3 linked regions of the Rattus norvegicus genome follow. The protein of the gene in region 1 purifies or fractionates together with the protein of each later gene. This does not show direct contact. Links are inferred from orthologs where the notes say so. Each region holds a gene or a part of one and is shown in the gene's direction. Other genes may lie near its edges.

Region 1 (3,632 bases):
TAGGGTTCACATTTAATCCAAATCAATTGCCAGATTCAAACTGTCCCCATTCTACCTTAAGTATCTTATGCTTTTTTATCCCCTAACAAGAGACAGGAAGTTTGACTGGGTCTAAAATGAAGTACTTATGTTGGCTTCTAACAAGGAAGTTTTATTTCAGGTCTTTGTAGGTAAAATTCCAAGAGACTTGTATGAGGATGAGTTGGTGCCCCTTTTTGAGAAGGCTGGTCCTATCTGGGATCTACGCCTCATGATGGATCCACTTTCTGGTCAGAACAGAGGCTATGCGTTTATCACCTTCTGTGGAAAGGAAGCCGCCCAGGAAGCAGTTAAACTGGTATGTGATAAATATCCATTGTCCAAGAACTGCCATTTGAGAGAATAAAAGCATTTGCAGTTAACATTGTTTCATTTTCTTTAGTCTCTACTTTTAATATCTTTATATTGACTGATTCTTGGTATGTAACCTTTTTTATTTTTTCTGATTATAATTCTAAGATAACAGATTAGTTAGCACAATTTTATTTAGTATCAAACAAATGTTTTTTCTTTTAATGTCATTTCTCTCTGTCAAACTTTAATTTGGTACTAAAGTATACTGGAGGCTGAAATGGTTCTGCAGAATGTAACTGGAAGACAGTAACTTCTCTAGGAGAAATAGCATGACTGTTTTATTTTTATCACAATCCAGCTATGCAGTTAATACATTGTGTTCTAAATCTCTGCTTCTCTGCTGTGTAATAGCTGGCTTCTGTGGCTTTCCTTTTCTCTAAGAGCTGTACGACCTTGCATTCCTTAGAGCAGCAGCAGTTTTGAGGATGCCTGGATTCTCTCTGACTCTCTCGGTGTGTTAAAGTGACAGTGTTATTGTTCTGGCAGATTTCTGCCAGCTATCTAAGGGCATATGCAATATGGTATGGCACTTCTTGCCTTCTTTTAAGCACAGCTATATCTGCCAAGTGTGCCTGTTTCATTAGTGAGTGTGAATAAGTCCTTTACTAGCTTGGTCCAGGTTTTAGTATTTCTGAGGGATTTTTTTTTCTTCAAACTTGTTTATTCAATATTAAGGAGATTTCAGGACTTTATATTCTAGTTTTTGATAGGGTATAGGTAACTAAAAAGATTTATTTATTTATATATATGAGTGCTCTATTTGCATGTTTGCCTGCATGACAGAAGAAGGCATCAAGATGCCCTTATAGATGGTTGTGAGCCACACGTGGTTGCTGGGAATTGAACTCAGGACCTCTGGAAGAGCAGCCAGTGCTCTTAACTGCTGAGCTATCTCACCAGTCCCATGAATAACTTTTAAAATCATATCTTTTAGTAAGCTAGTGGTAAGTAATGCTAAAATATAAAGTATTATTTAAGAATTCACATTTTTTATTGTCTTCATAAAGTTTTGGAAGTGTTCTGATACTTTGTGGCTTTATTTAGAATTGTGGTTTGTATACAGTGTGAAACTCCTTTAAGTTTCTTTGGCATTGATTAAAGTAAATTCTTCCTTATTTTGGCTATTGCTGATCTATATCTAATTTCATCCTCAAGGACTCTGAATAAACATTTTCAGGTATTTTGAAATTTTCTGGAAAGGAATGTTCAGGTAGATAAAATTGAAATAAGTCAGCAGTGATGGTGCATGTCTTTAATTTTAGCACTTGGGAGGTAGAGAAATGCAGGTGGATTTCTTGAGTCGAAGGACAGCCTGATCTACACAGTGAGTTCCAGGACATCCAGGGCTATACAGAGAAACCATGTCTCAAAAACAAAAAAATGGGGAGGGGGATATTCAGGGCTAAATTTTAGCCCTTTTTTATAACTGGAGACTGTAAGAAATTTAAAATCTACACTCATGTTTCAGCAAGCGTGAAGGAGCTTGGTGAGTGTTTGATCTTAAATTGTGGGGCTCTTTAGATTAATATTAGTTGTCCTCAGTCTGGGGTGGTTTGGGGGTCTCTGGTTTTTTTCTTCCTTGCAGTGTGACAGCTATGAGATTCGCCCTGGTAAACACCTGGGAGTGTGCATTTCTGTGGCAAACAACAGACTTTTTGTTGGATCCATTCCAAAGAATAAAACTAAAGAGAATATTCTGGAAGAGTTCAGTAAAGTCACAGGTAAAACAAAAATGCATTTAGAAGTTGGTTTGTGGGAATCTGTTGCATTATTTACAAATATAAATGCTCTCCCAGAAGGAGATATATAGTAAACAGAGAGTTCAAGTCTCCTGTATCTCGTTTGTTTCTTTCTGCTTTAATAGTAGTTGGACTAAATAAATGTCTAAATACTCTTGATTTCATAGAATTTTCTTTTTGCTTTGTCTTAATCAACCCTTGTTTTTTGCTCTTTAGCCCTCAAGTGAAAGTGTTTTCCTTCAAAAGCTTTTTAGGATTAGAGAGAAGGCAGTTCTCATTTCCAGTTAACCTGTCTACATAAAAATTTAAAAATTCTGATTGAATCTGTGCAGTTGATTGAGAAGTATATTTTATATCTCAGCTCCACATACTTAAATACATACCTGGAGTCATGCATAGGGATGCATAGGCTTAGCACTTGGAGGTTAGGAGTTTTAAAAAAAGCTCAACTCAAGAATAGTCTGGAATACATGAGATTCTATCTTAAAAAGCAAAGCAGAAGACTAAATGTATAATGTGAAAGAATTGAGTAAGACTATACCTTGATTATACAAATGATTCCATCGACTTTCCATTAACTTTCACTTTTTATGTGGGTGCTGGGGATTTGAACTTATATTCTCTTGCTTTCACAACAAGCACTCTTCCCACTGAGCCATTTCCCTACAGCCTTCAAAGGCCTGGAGTTTGCTATGTAGCCCAGGCTGGACTTGAATTTACAGAGATTTAACTGCCTTCACCTCCAGAATGCTGGAATTAAAGGAGTGTGCACCACATCTGGCCTGCATTTCAGTTTTTAATGTGAGATTGGACTAGTGAGATGGCTCAGCTGTTAGAGCTGTTCTTACTGCAGGCCTCAGGATCTGAGTCAACTCCCAGATCACTAAAATTGGCAGGAGAGAGCCCACTCGATAAGAGTTGTTCTTTGACTTCTGCAGATGCACGATGCCTTAGGAGCATCTGTTAACATGCACACTAGCCTGCTCGCTCGGTCTCGCTCTCTCCCTCTCTCCTCTCCTCTCTCTTCTCCTCCCTCTTCCTCCCCTCCCTCTCTCTCCCTCTGTCTCTGTGCGTGTCTCCTTGTTTCTCCCTCCTTCCTCTGACACACATGAATGAATGAGACAAAGAAAGGGAGGGAAAGAAATGGTGAGATTATGATCTGAAAACAGTTTTAAGACCATGATTTCCTCTTATGAAAACCAGTACATTCTTTCATGTTTTGTTACCCAGTCATACTGTTTATCCCCGTTACTTACAGCTACCGTTTACTTTACCTTAAAGGCTGCCCCATGCTGTCCTCCCTCTCCCATCCTAGGTTGACTGACTTATTGTTAGTGCTCTCATCCGTTCATTTTTGGGTTTTCTTTTTTAAAAGGTTTATTGTGTGTGTGTGTGTGTGTGTGTGTGTGTGTGTGTGTGTGTGTGTGTGTCTGTGTCTGTGTCTGTGTCTGTGTCTGTGTGTACACTGTCACTGTCCTCAGACACACCAGAAGAGGGCAT
Region 2 (4,161 bases), on another chromosome or scaffold:
GTATATGTATACGTGCTTGTGAATACAATCCCCTAGAGGACTTTAGAGATTGACTGAACTTAGGGTTGGGGATTTAGCTCAGTGGTAGAGCGCTTGCCTAGGAAGCGAAGCGCAAAGCCCTGGGTTCGGTCCCCAGCTCCGAAAAAAAGAACTGCTGAGTCATCTCTGATCGAGCCCCAATAAAAAGAAAATCTAAAGGCAAACCTAACCCACGATAGTAGAAATCCAGTATGGTTATCTTTCTGAGATGATAAAATACTGTTTTTGTGAGGCAGGATCTCCCTATGTAGACTTACTTGGCATGGACTGGTTACCTAGAATAGTCTGACCTTGAACTCACAGAGATTCTCCTGCCGCTGCCTCCCAGGTGCGGGAATTAAAGACATGCTCCACCATGTTTACCAAAATATCCTTTAAATTTTTTTCCGTTACATTTATTTATGTTGTGTTTGTGGGTGTCACCACACCCACGGCATTCATAGTGAGGTCGGAGGACAAAATGCAGATCGCGGCTCACCTTCCATCACTGAGTCTCCAGAGGTCGAACTCAGGTAGTTGCGATTGTACCTGCCGACTCACCTTGCCGACCTGATAAAGTATTCCTTATTTTAATGAGGTTACTTAGAAGGAATAGATGCCTACAAAAGTAAATAATACATCAATACTTGTCAGAATCACCTAGCATAGGGAAGTGGGGAGGGAGGATCTGGGTGGAACTGGGGAAGAGAAATACATGATCAAGAAAAATTGTATGACAATTTTCAATAAAAAAGAATCATATAACAGTAATGATATTGAGGGAAAAAATGGTGGGAAATGGAACTATTTCTGATATTTCCGTAAGGTAAAAGTTATGTTTTCAAGTGAGGCGGCACACGGCAGAGATTGCTAAGAGTTTGATGACAGCTCAGGCTACATTAACGAGTATTATGTAAACTAGGGTGACAAAGCAAGACGCTGTCTGGAAAAAAAAGTTGGAGAAGGAAAAAAAACCCCACATCTCTTGCTATGGAAAAATTTAATTGTATTTTCACCCGTAAAAAGAAAAACAAAGTCTCCGATAGCAGAGGATGGTTTCGATCCATCGACCTCTGGGTTATGGGCCCAGCACGCTTCCGCTGCGCCACTCTGCTACCTACTGGTAGGCTATGCTTGTATTACCATAGAAGACTTTACCTGCTTACAGCCTCAAATTCTGAACGCCCTCTACTGTAAGTGGGGGAAATTGCCTCTGTCCCTGGTATGTCTTCTTATTGGTTGACTCCTTTACAGAGCATTTCCATTGGTTGCTGGGTTAACCAATAAACGCACGGGACGGAGTGAGGCGGGAGCCTATCGCGCAGGCGTTTGTTGGGACACGCCGACCCGACGTTTCTCTGTTACCTTGATTCTTCCAAGCGAAGAGCGGTTGAGTGGTCTCCATTGTTCAGGATTAAGCGAGCCATGAGGTAAGTAGACAGGGTGCTTGAAAGTTCCTGCCGTAGCCTCGAGGGATGGGGGGTTGGAGTTGGGGAGCAGGCTGAAATGGAGTCGGGGGAAGAAGGGCCTGTATCTGGGCGGCCGGCGGAAAGCCGGGCCGGAGAGAGTGGAGTAGGAGGAGGCTGGCCGACTCGGGGAATCGGGCCTGGAGGGGGGCCGGGCCCCAGCAGGGCAGTTGTGTTGATTCCTGGGTCTCGGGGGATGGAGGAGAGGTCTTAACGGACCAGGAAGATCACCCTCCGTGCGCAGTGAGCAGGCTGGAGCGCTGCACATTTTTCTGGTGCCTAGTGTTTGACCAATTGGACATGTCTCGTAACTGGTATGCTGTATTAATAAATGAGAAGTCACCTTACCCTGAATATTACGACCCGTGTGCCTCAGGATCGTGGGTTACTTAGTAGGGGTATGTATGTCAGGTTCTGAAACTCGTATTTTCCTGATGTGAGTTTTGATAAAATCCTGAATTAGAAGTGGGGTGTGGTGGCTCAGGATGCAGTCTTGGGGTGGGGGGAGGTAATGCAGGAGATACATGAGATTCCGTTTCAAAAACAGAAGAAAAAAAAGTCCAGAATTAGGATGTCATGAGAGTGGGACTGGACATCATTTGGAATCGGGGAGAAGTGAGCATGATATATCTGTCGACTTCAGTAGTTGGAGGGGGGTCAGGGTAAGTCACATTGAAATAACATTGATGGTGTGATGGAAACCTTTTTCAGCAACATGAGAGTAAAATGTATGTACTTTTAGGGGTGACAGAGGACGTGGTCGTGGTGGGCGCTTTGGTTCCAGAGGAGGTCCTGGAGGAGGGTGAGTGTGGCTGTTCACGTCTTTGCCTTGGTTTGTTTCAGTAGATAGGAGTTTGGAGTAGATTGTTCTGTTTGATTTTGTGAAAACCACTCGAAGCATTTCTTTTCCTCATGTCCTACAAAGTGAATTTGGCTTTTTGCTAAGAATGATGCAGCTTAGAAATGCCTGAATTCTTTTTTTTTTCGGAGCTGGGGACCGGAACCCAGGGCCTTGCGCTTCCTAGGCAAGCGCTCTACCACTGAGCTAAATCCCCAACCCCAGAAATGCCTGAATTCTTAAGACAGAATTCTCTTGCTTGCTTTCTGCCTGAATAATTTTGGATTGTTTTCATGTTTCAGGTTCAGGCCTTTTGTGCCCCACATCCCCTTTGATTTCTATTTGGTGAGTATTTTGGCTTTGGAGAACTTGACTGGCTACTGCTCACTTACAGGTGTAGAAGCCCAGAATCCTTGTTAATGACGTTAGATACTGTTTGGAGTAGGATTCAAGAATGGATCTGTTCTTTGAGAGTGGGTCTTCTGTATGATTGGCTGGCCTGGAACTCTATGTATACCAAGCTGACTGCAAATTCATCATCTTCCTGCCTCAGCCTCCTGAATGCTAGAATTACAGGCATTCATCTGCTGTAAGTTTTTTTTTTTTTTAAGATTTATTTATTTATTATATATAAGTACACTGTAGCCGTCTTCAGACACACCAGAAGAGGGCATCAGATCCCATTACAGACAGTTGTGAGCCACCATGTAGTTGCTGGGAATTGAGCTCAGCACCTCTGGAAGAGCAGTAGTGCTCCTAACCACTGAGCCATCTCTCCAGCCCCCCTGCTGTAAGTTTTTATTTACTTAGTTTGAGTGCTAGAGATGTGAACATGCTACATGTATACCCCATTAACTGGTTTTATTTTATTATTGTATTTATTATATATTGCAATCTACTTAGAGCTATAACTACAGGTCTAACATGGCTCTAGCAGAGGACACAAGTTTTTCCCGGTTCTTACATCGTACATAGTGCACATCTGTCTGTAACTCTGATTTCCAAGGCTCTTACGTCTCTGTTGACTTCCACAGGCTCTTGCACACAGGATGCATATACACACACTGTGGCACTCGCATATACATAAATACATATTAAAAACAAGCCAGTTCACCAGCCCAGCCAGTCTTAAAGAGAATGAAGTCCTTTTGTGATACCAGCAATGGAAACCCCAGCAATAGGACCATTGTTAGTGTTCAGGGCCAGCCTGGGCTACAAATGAACCGTCTCAATAAGAACAAAACTTAGAAAAGAGTGTAAGCAAGGCAGGGAAGATACTTTCTTTACAGTTTGATTGTAATATTTGTCTAGAAAATACTTTTTTTTTTTTTTCTTTTTTTTCGGAGCTGGGGACCGAACCCAGGGCCTTGTGCTTGCTGGGCAAGCGCTTTACCACTGAGCTAAATCCCCAACCCTAGAAAATACCTTTTTTTTAAAAAAAAATATTTTTAGGACTTATTTATTTACTTTGAGACATTGCGTGTGTGTGTGTGTGTGTGTGTGTGTATGTGTGTGTGTGTGTATAAAACCTTGGCTGGCCTGGAACTCAGAGATCTGCCTGCCTCTGCCTCCAGAGTGCTCAATGTGTATATTATACTACATGGTAGATTATAATTAGTTTCTTTCTTTCTTCATTTATGTTTGGATTTTTAAACAGGGCTTTTCTCTGTAGCCCTGGCTATCCTGGAACTCAGAAACCCACTTGCCTCTGCCTCCTGAGTGTGTGCCACCATTGCCATCTGGCTTTTTTTTTTTTTTTATCAGGGGCAGCTCTTTTTTTTTTTTTTTCGGAGCTGGGGACTGAACCCAGGGCCTTGCGCTTGCTAGGCAAGTGCTCTA
Region 3 (4,166 bases), on another chromosome or scaffold:
GAGCTAAGCTAGTGTTTTCCGTCTCCTCTAGATAGCTCCTTTGCAGGTGAGGTCATGCCCCACTATTCTCCCAGCCTGTTTCATCGGAGTTTCCCTTACACCTGAAGGTTCATGTTACACAGCTCCTGTTGCTCTCTTGCTGAAAGCTTCTGTCTACTTAACACCCTTGCGCAGACTTAAAAGGTCCAAGTTCTGCATGCTGTCTCTGCACCTTTCCTTTGATGACCACCACCCCCTTAAAAAAAACTATCCAAAGTGGATTTAGCCTCCTCAATATTGTACTTGAAAGAAAAACGTAATTTTGACCGCGACCTCTTGTGATGGCATTCAGAGGCATACCAACTGTGGTACCCACTGTGGCACCACCAAAACAATAACACTATTGTTAATTTCTACCAGGTCTGGCAGGGGTGGGTCAGTCAAATCCGGAGAGACTCCGAACATCATCCGTATTCTGCTGTGTTGCTGGAATTCTAACTTTTTACCCATTTATCTCTGTAAGTGCACACGAGATGACCCGGAGGTGTCTCCACCTGGGAGAGGTACATCGGTCGGGCGCCGCGCTCTGGGGTTGCGTCCTCCGCGCACCTGGTAGTCTCAGCCTTCACTCGCGAGGCGCAGCACACAGAGCGCTTCTCGTGCGAGGGCCCGCGGCCTTGGGAAGGCGAGGGGTTCGCAGACTGCGAGTTCGTTAGGCAAAGTGGGATACAGGACTAGCTCGGGCACTGACAGCCCATGTGGGTCGGGGACTGATCCCCTAAAGCGGGCAGGTAAGGGGACTGGTCCTAGGCACCCCACGGTGATCTGGGATTTGGGCGCAGGGGCGGGGCGGTACGGAGAGGAGGCTCGGCATAAACCGGCCTTCCAGCTCCTACGCGTTCTAGGGAGAAAGGGCATGGCTTCCTTTTCCTCCTGCTGTCTTTCAAAACTGACAGGAACGCGGAAGAAAAGCTGCGGATTAAGGGTAGAACAACCGCCCCTGTAAACCTGAACTCTGGATTATTACCCAGTCCCTGCTGGGAGCTGATTATCGCCATTCCCCTCCCCCACTCTGGCGGGTAGGTCTAGAGAACGGTTTGAAGGCAGACGCATGCGCTTTAAGTAAAACGATAAACCGCTGAGACGCCAAGCGCAATAATTGCAAAAGGGCGCAGGCGCAGGAAGAAAAAAACCCCTCGGTCAGTTTATGAAGGGGCCGGAGCCCAAACGCATGCGTGTAATAATGGGCTAGCGGGAGAGAGCGCAGGTTTTCTTAATACGCATGCGTTTAATCTTTGTGTGACGCGAGTGGGGCGGGGCCGGCCACGGGGTGCGCGTGCGCAGAGTTTGCTCGGAGGGCTTTATTTAGGCTGCGCAGGCGCTCTCCTATCATTTTTCCTCAGCCACGCCGAGGCTTTGTGTGGAGGTGAGTGGTGTTCTGTCTTCGTTTGCTACCAGAGCCCTCCACGGACGCCTATTTTGGTGACGATTGCTTGTCGCTGAACTTAGGTTAAAACCTGGGGGGCCGTGGCAAGCACAGGCTACCCCTGGAAACCGCGAGTGTCTCGCCGGCGTGGCAGCGCCGCCTAGGCCTGCAGGCCGCGCCGCTTCTATTGTGTGAGATGTCTGAGGAGGCGGAGCGGAAGCGGCGGCCGCCATTTCCTTGTCTCCACCATGGCTGTAGGCCAGGGTTTTCTTAGCCTAGACCCTCCTCAGCACTGAGCGCACAGAGTGGTGTTGGGGATCGGGTCGCTAGCCGAGGCCGGGTTGCATGCTTGAGTCTCCGGGGTCAAGGCAGCGTACCGGGCGGGGCTCCCGTAGCGGCGCCCGGTCGAACCCCGCAGGGCGCCTTGAAGTGGGAGGGCCATTTAAATGACTGTTTCTTAGACGTGTTCCTAACAACCCCACCCCCCTCCCACCCCGCAGCCCTGCAGTCTGTTTCGACGCCAGGACCAGCGAAGAGACGATGATGCTGGGAGCAGAAGGCGGAGAGGGCTTCGTGGTGAAGGTCCGGGGCTTGCCCTGGTCCTGCTCCGCGGATGAAGTGCAGCGGTTTTTTTCTGGTGAGTTGAGGCGGGAGTTGTCAGTGGGGGCCCGCGGCTGGGCCGGGCGGGGCGGGGCGGGGCGGGGCGGACCTCTGGGCGCCCCCTAGCGAGTCGCAGGCACCAGCGGTTCCCGGGCTCGCGCTCTGCCAGCCGCTGTTACGCAATGGTAATTGCGAAATGCCCCCTCCTCCCGCCCCCCTCCCCTTCTCCCATTGGGATGCTGGTGGCCCTGCAGAATCTTTTCGGTCTCTAAGCACCAATCTGTGCATTTTGGAATTGTCTCTGAAAGAATTCAGTAGGGAAAGATATGATTTCTTTCCTGGTCTTGAAAAACAAATGGAGCAGTACAGACAAGTGATAGTAATTTCCCCTTTGAAGCGCTACTGCACTTCCTTACATATATTCACTTGAAAAGAGGCATTCTGCTTTGGAAAAGTTCATTTTTCCTGATTAGGATTTGGTCCTTGAATTCATGCTCTAGGTCTAGTTAATTAAAAAACTGGATCCCTTTACAACTGAGAACCCTGAAACCCAAGAAAGTTTTGTCACTGTAGAATCTTACTTATTTTTACACTATGTGTAGGCTTTCTGAATAATTTCTATCAGAATCTTATTCCCACTGTTGTAAGAGAAGAGAGGTGTATTTCAAAAACATTGACAAGTTTCGTAAAAAGGTACCTGTAGTGTTGACCTTACTGTCTGAATTTAGCTGTGGTAACAGAAAACGACCTGTAAAACAAGACTCAAGTATACTGGAAGCAATGGCAGGGGGCAGTTGCCATCGGGTTTGACTTGAGCTGTGCAGTTTGGAGCCTTTAGTTGTTTACATTGATGCCCTTTCAGGTGAGTATTGAGCTGGAGTTTGGATTTGAGTGAGCAGTTATGTGGCTGCTGATAGAGGAGAGCTGACATGGTACCCCACCCAGAAAATGCTGTGAGGTCACCAGGCCCAGATGAGGTTATTCTGAGACATTGTGCAGAGATGGTTAGTGGATACTTAGAGGCAAGGCAGTAGCTTCATTTGAACTGTTTTTGAGTATTAAGGTACCTTGATGGATTAGGAATATATCCTATATACCAGGTAATTTGATGGTGAGTGATCAGTTTAGTCTTTAGGAGTGGGTTTTTTTTTTTTTTTTTTTAATGATGACAGGAATATGCATCTCATCTGTATCACCCAGAGGTGGTTTTAAATTCTGTATTAAGCATTGTTTTCTTTTCAGACTGCAAAATTCAAAATGGGGCTCAAGGTATTCGTTTCATCTACACCAGAGAAGGCAGACCGAGTGGCGAGGCTTTTGTTGAACTTGAATCAGAAGATGAAGTCAAATTGGCCTTGAAAAAAGACAGAGAAACTATGGGACACAGATATGTTGAAGGTTTGATTTACATTGCCCTAGTAACAGTAAATGTTTAAACACATAGAGGTCTTACCCCTTCTGAATTTTAGGTATTTGACCGCATGGAAATGGTCATCTAAGGGAGTTTATGGCAGCTCTTCCTAGTTATCTAAAACCCAGGAAATCTGGACTTTGTTCTCTAACTTAATTGACTAATTCTAAGCACCTCTTTCAGTATTCAAGTCAAACAACGTTGAAATGGATTGGGTGTTGAAGCATACTGGTCCCAATAGTCCTGACACGGCCAATGATGGCTTTGTACGGCTTAGAGGACTCCCTTTTGGATGTAGCAAGGAAGAAATTGTTCAGTTCTTCTCAGGTATGTAGTCCTGTTTGTTGCTGAGCAGTGAGGTATGGCAGCTTCTGGCGACATGATTTAGTATTAGACTTTAAAGTTGAGTAGTCTAGGTACTGAAAGTAGGTTGCTGAATATATGTTGTAAAATTCACATTTTCTTCCTGGAGACCTTCAAATAACTTAAGCCCATCTTAAAAGGTGGAAATTAGAAGTATTTCCAAAGTGTTAACTTTGCCTATATTTAGTATTGTAGTTCAGAGTAGACCTTTGAGGATTCTACTCAGCCATCTTAACTACTTCCTCATATTGCTGTTTAGCAAAGTACTGCAAGTTAAAGGTAAGCTCTTTTTAACATTAGATTAGTGTTGAGTGTAGAGTGTTAGTTTATTATGGTGTTTGTTGTAAGAACTTATTTTTGGTCATGGGACCAGACATATTTTAGATA

What was found. Proteins that work in one complex are often made in the same cells at the same time.
Region 2: the proteins of Hnrnpr (region 1) and Ilf2 purify together in Homo sapiens (affinity purification with mass spectrometry; 3 studies listed by BioGRID and IntAct, counting the BioPlex papers as one, with this or other methods). This does not show direct contact. The link is inferred for Rattus norvegicus from reciprocal best matches to the Homo sapiens genes HNRNPR and ILF2.
Region 3: the proteins of Hnrnpr (region 1) and Hnrnph1 fractionate together in Homo sapiens (co-fractionation; 3 studies listed by BioGRID and IntAct, with this or other methods). This does not show direct contact. The link is inferred for Rattus norvegicus from reciprocal best matches to the Homo sapiens genes HNRNPR and HNRNPH1.

Annotation. Positions count from the first base shown.
Region 1 is NC_086023.1:153,843,449-153,847,080, forward strand, and holds part of Hnrnpr (heterogeneous nuclear ribonucleoprotein R), read left to right. Parts: intron 1-160; coding exon 161-337; intron 338-1,978; coding exon 1,979-2,114; intron 2,115-3,632. UniProt on the Homo sapiens protein: Component of ribonucleosomes, which are complexes of at least 20 other different heterogeneous nuclear ribonucleoproteins (hnRNP). hnRNP play an important role in processing of precursor mRNA in the nucleus.
Region 2 is NC_086020.1:178,255,590-178,259,750, forward strand, and holds the start of Ilf2 (interleukin enhancer-binding factor 2), read left to right. Parts: upstream 1-1,337; 5' UTR 1,338-1,443; coding exon 1,444-1,448; intron 1,449-2,226; coding exon 2,227-2,286; intron 2,287-2,624; coding exon 2,625-2,667; intron 2,668-4,161. UniProt on the Homo sapiens protein: Chromatin-interacting protein that forms a stable heterodimer with interleukin enhancer-binding factor 3/ILF3 and plays a role in several biological processes including transcription, innate immunity or cell growth.
Region 3 is NC_086028.1:35,193,291-35,197,456, forward strand, and holds the start of Hnrnph1 (heterogeneous nuclear ribonucleoprotein H), read left to right. Parts: upstream 1-1,342; 5' UTR 1,343-1,405; exon of another isoform or gene 1,406-1,488; intron 1,489-1,905; 5' UTR 1,906-1,945; coding exon 1,946-2,042; intron 2,043-3,247; coding exon 3,248-3,403; intron 3,404-3,599; coding exon 3,600-3,743; intron 3,744-4,166. UniProt on the Homo sapiens protein: This protein is a component of the heterogeneous nuclear ribonucleoprotein (hnRNP) complexes which provide the substrate for the processing events that pre-mRNAs undergo before becoming functional, translatable mRNAs in the cytoplasm.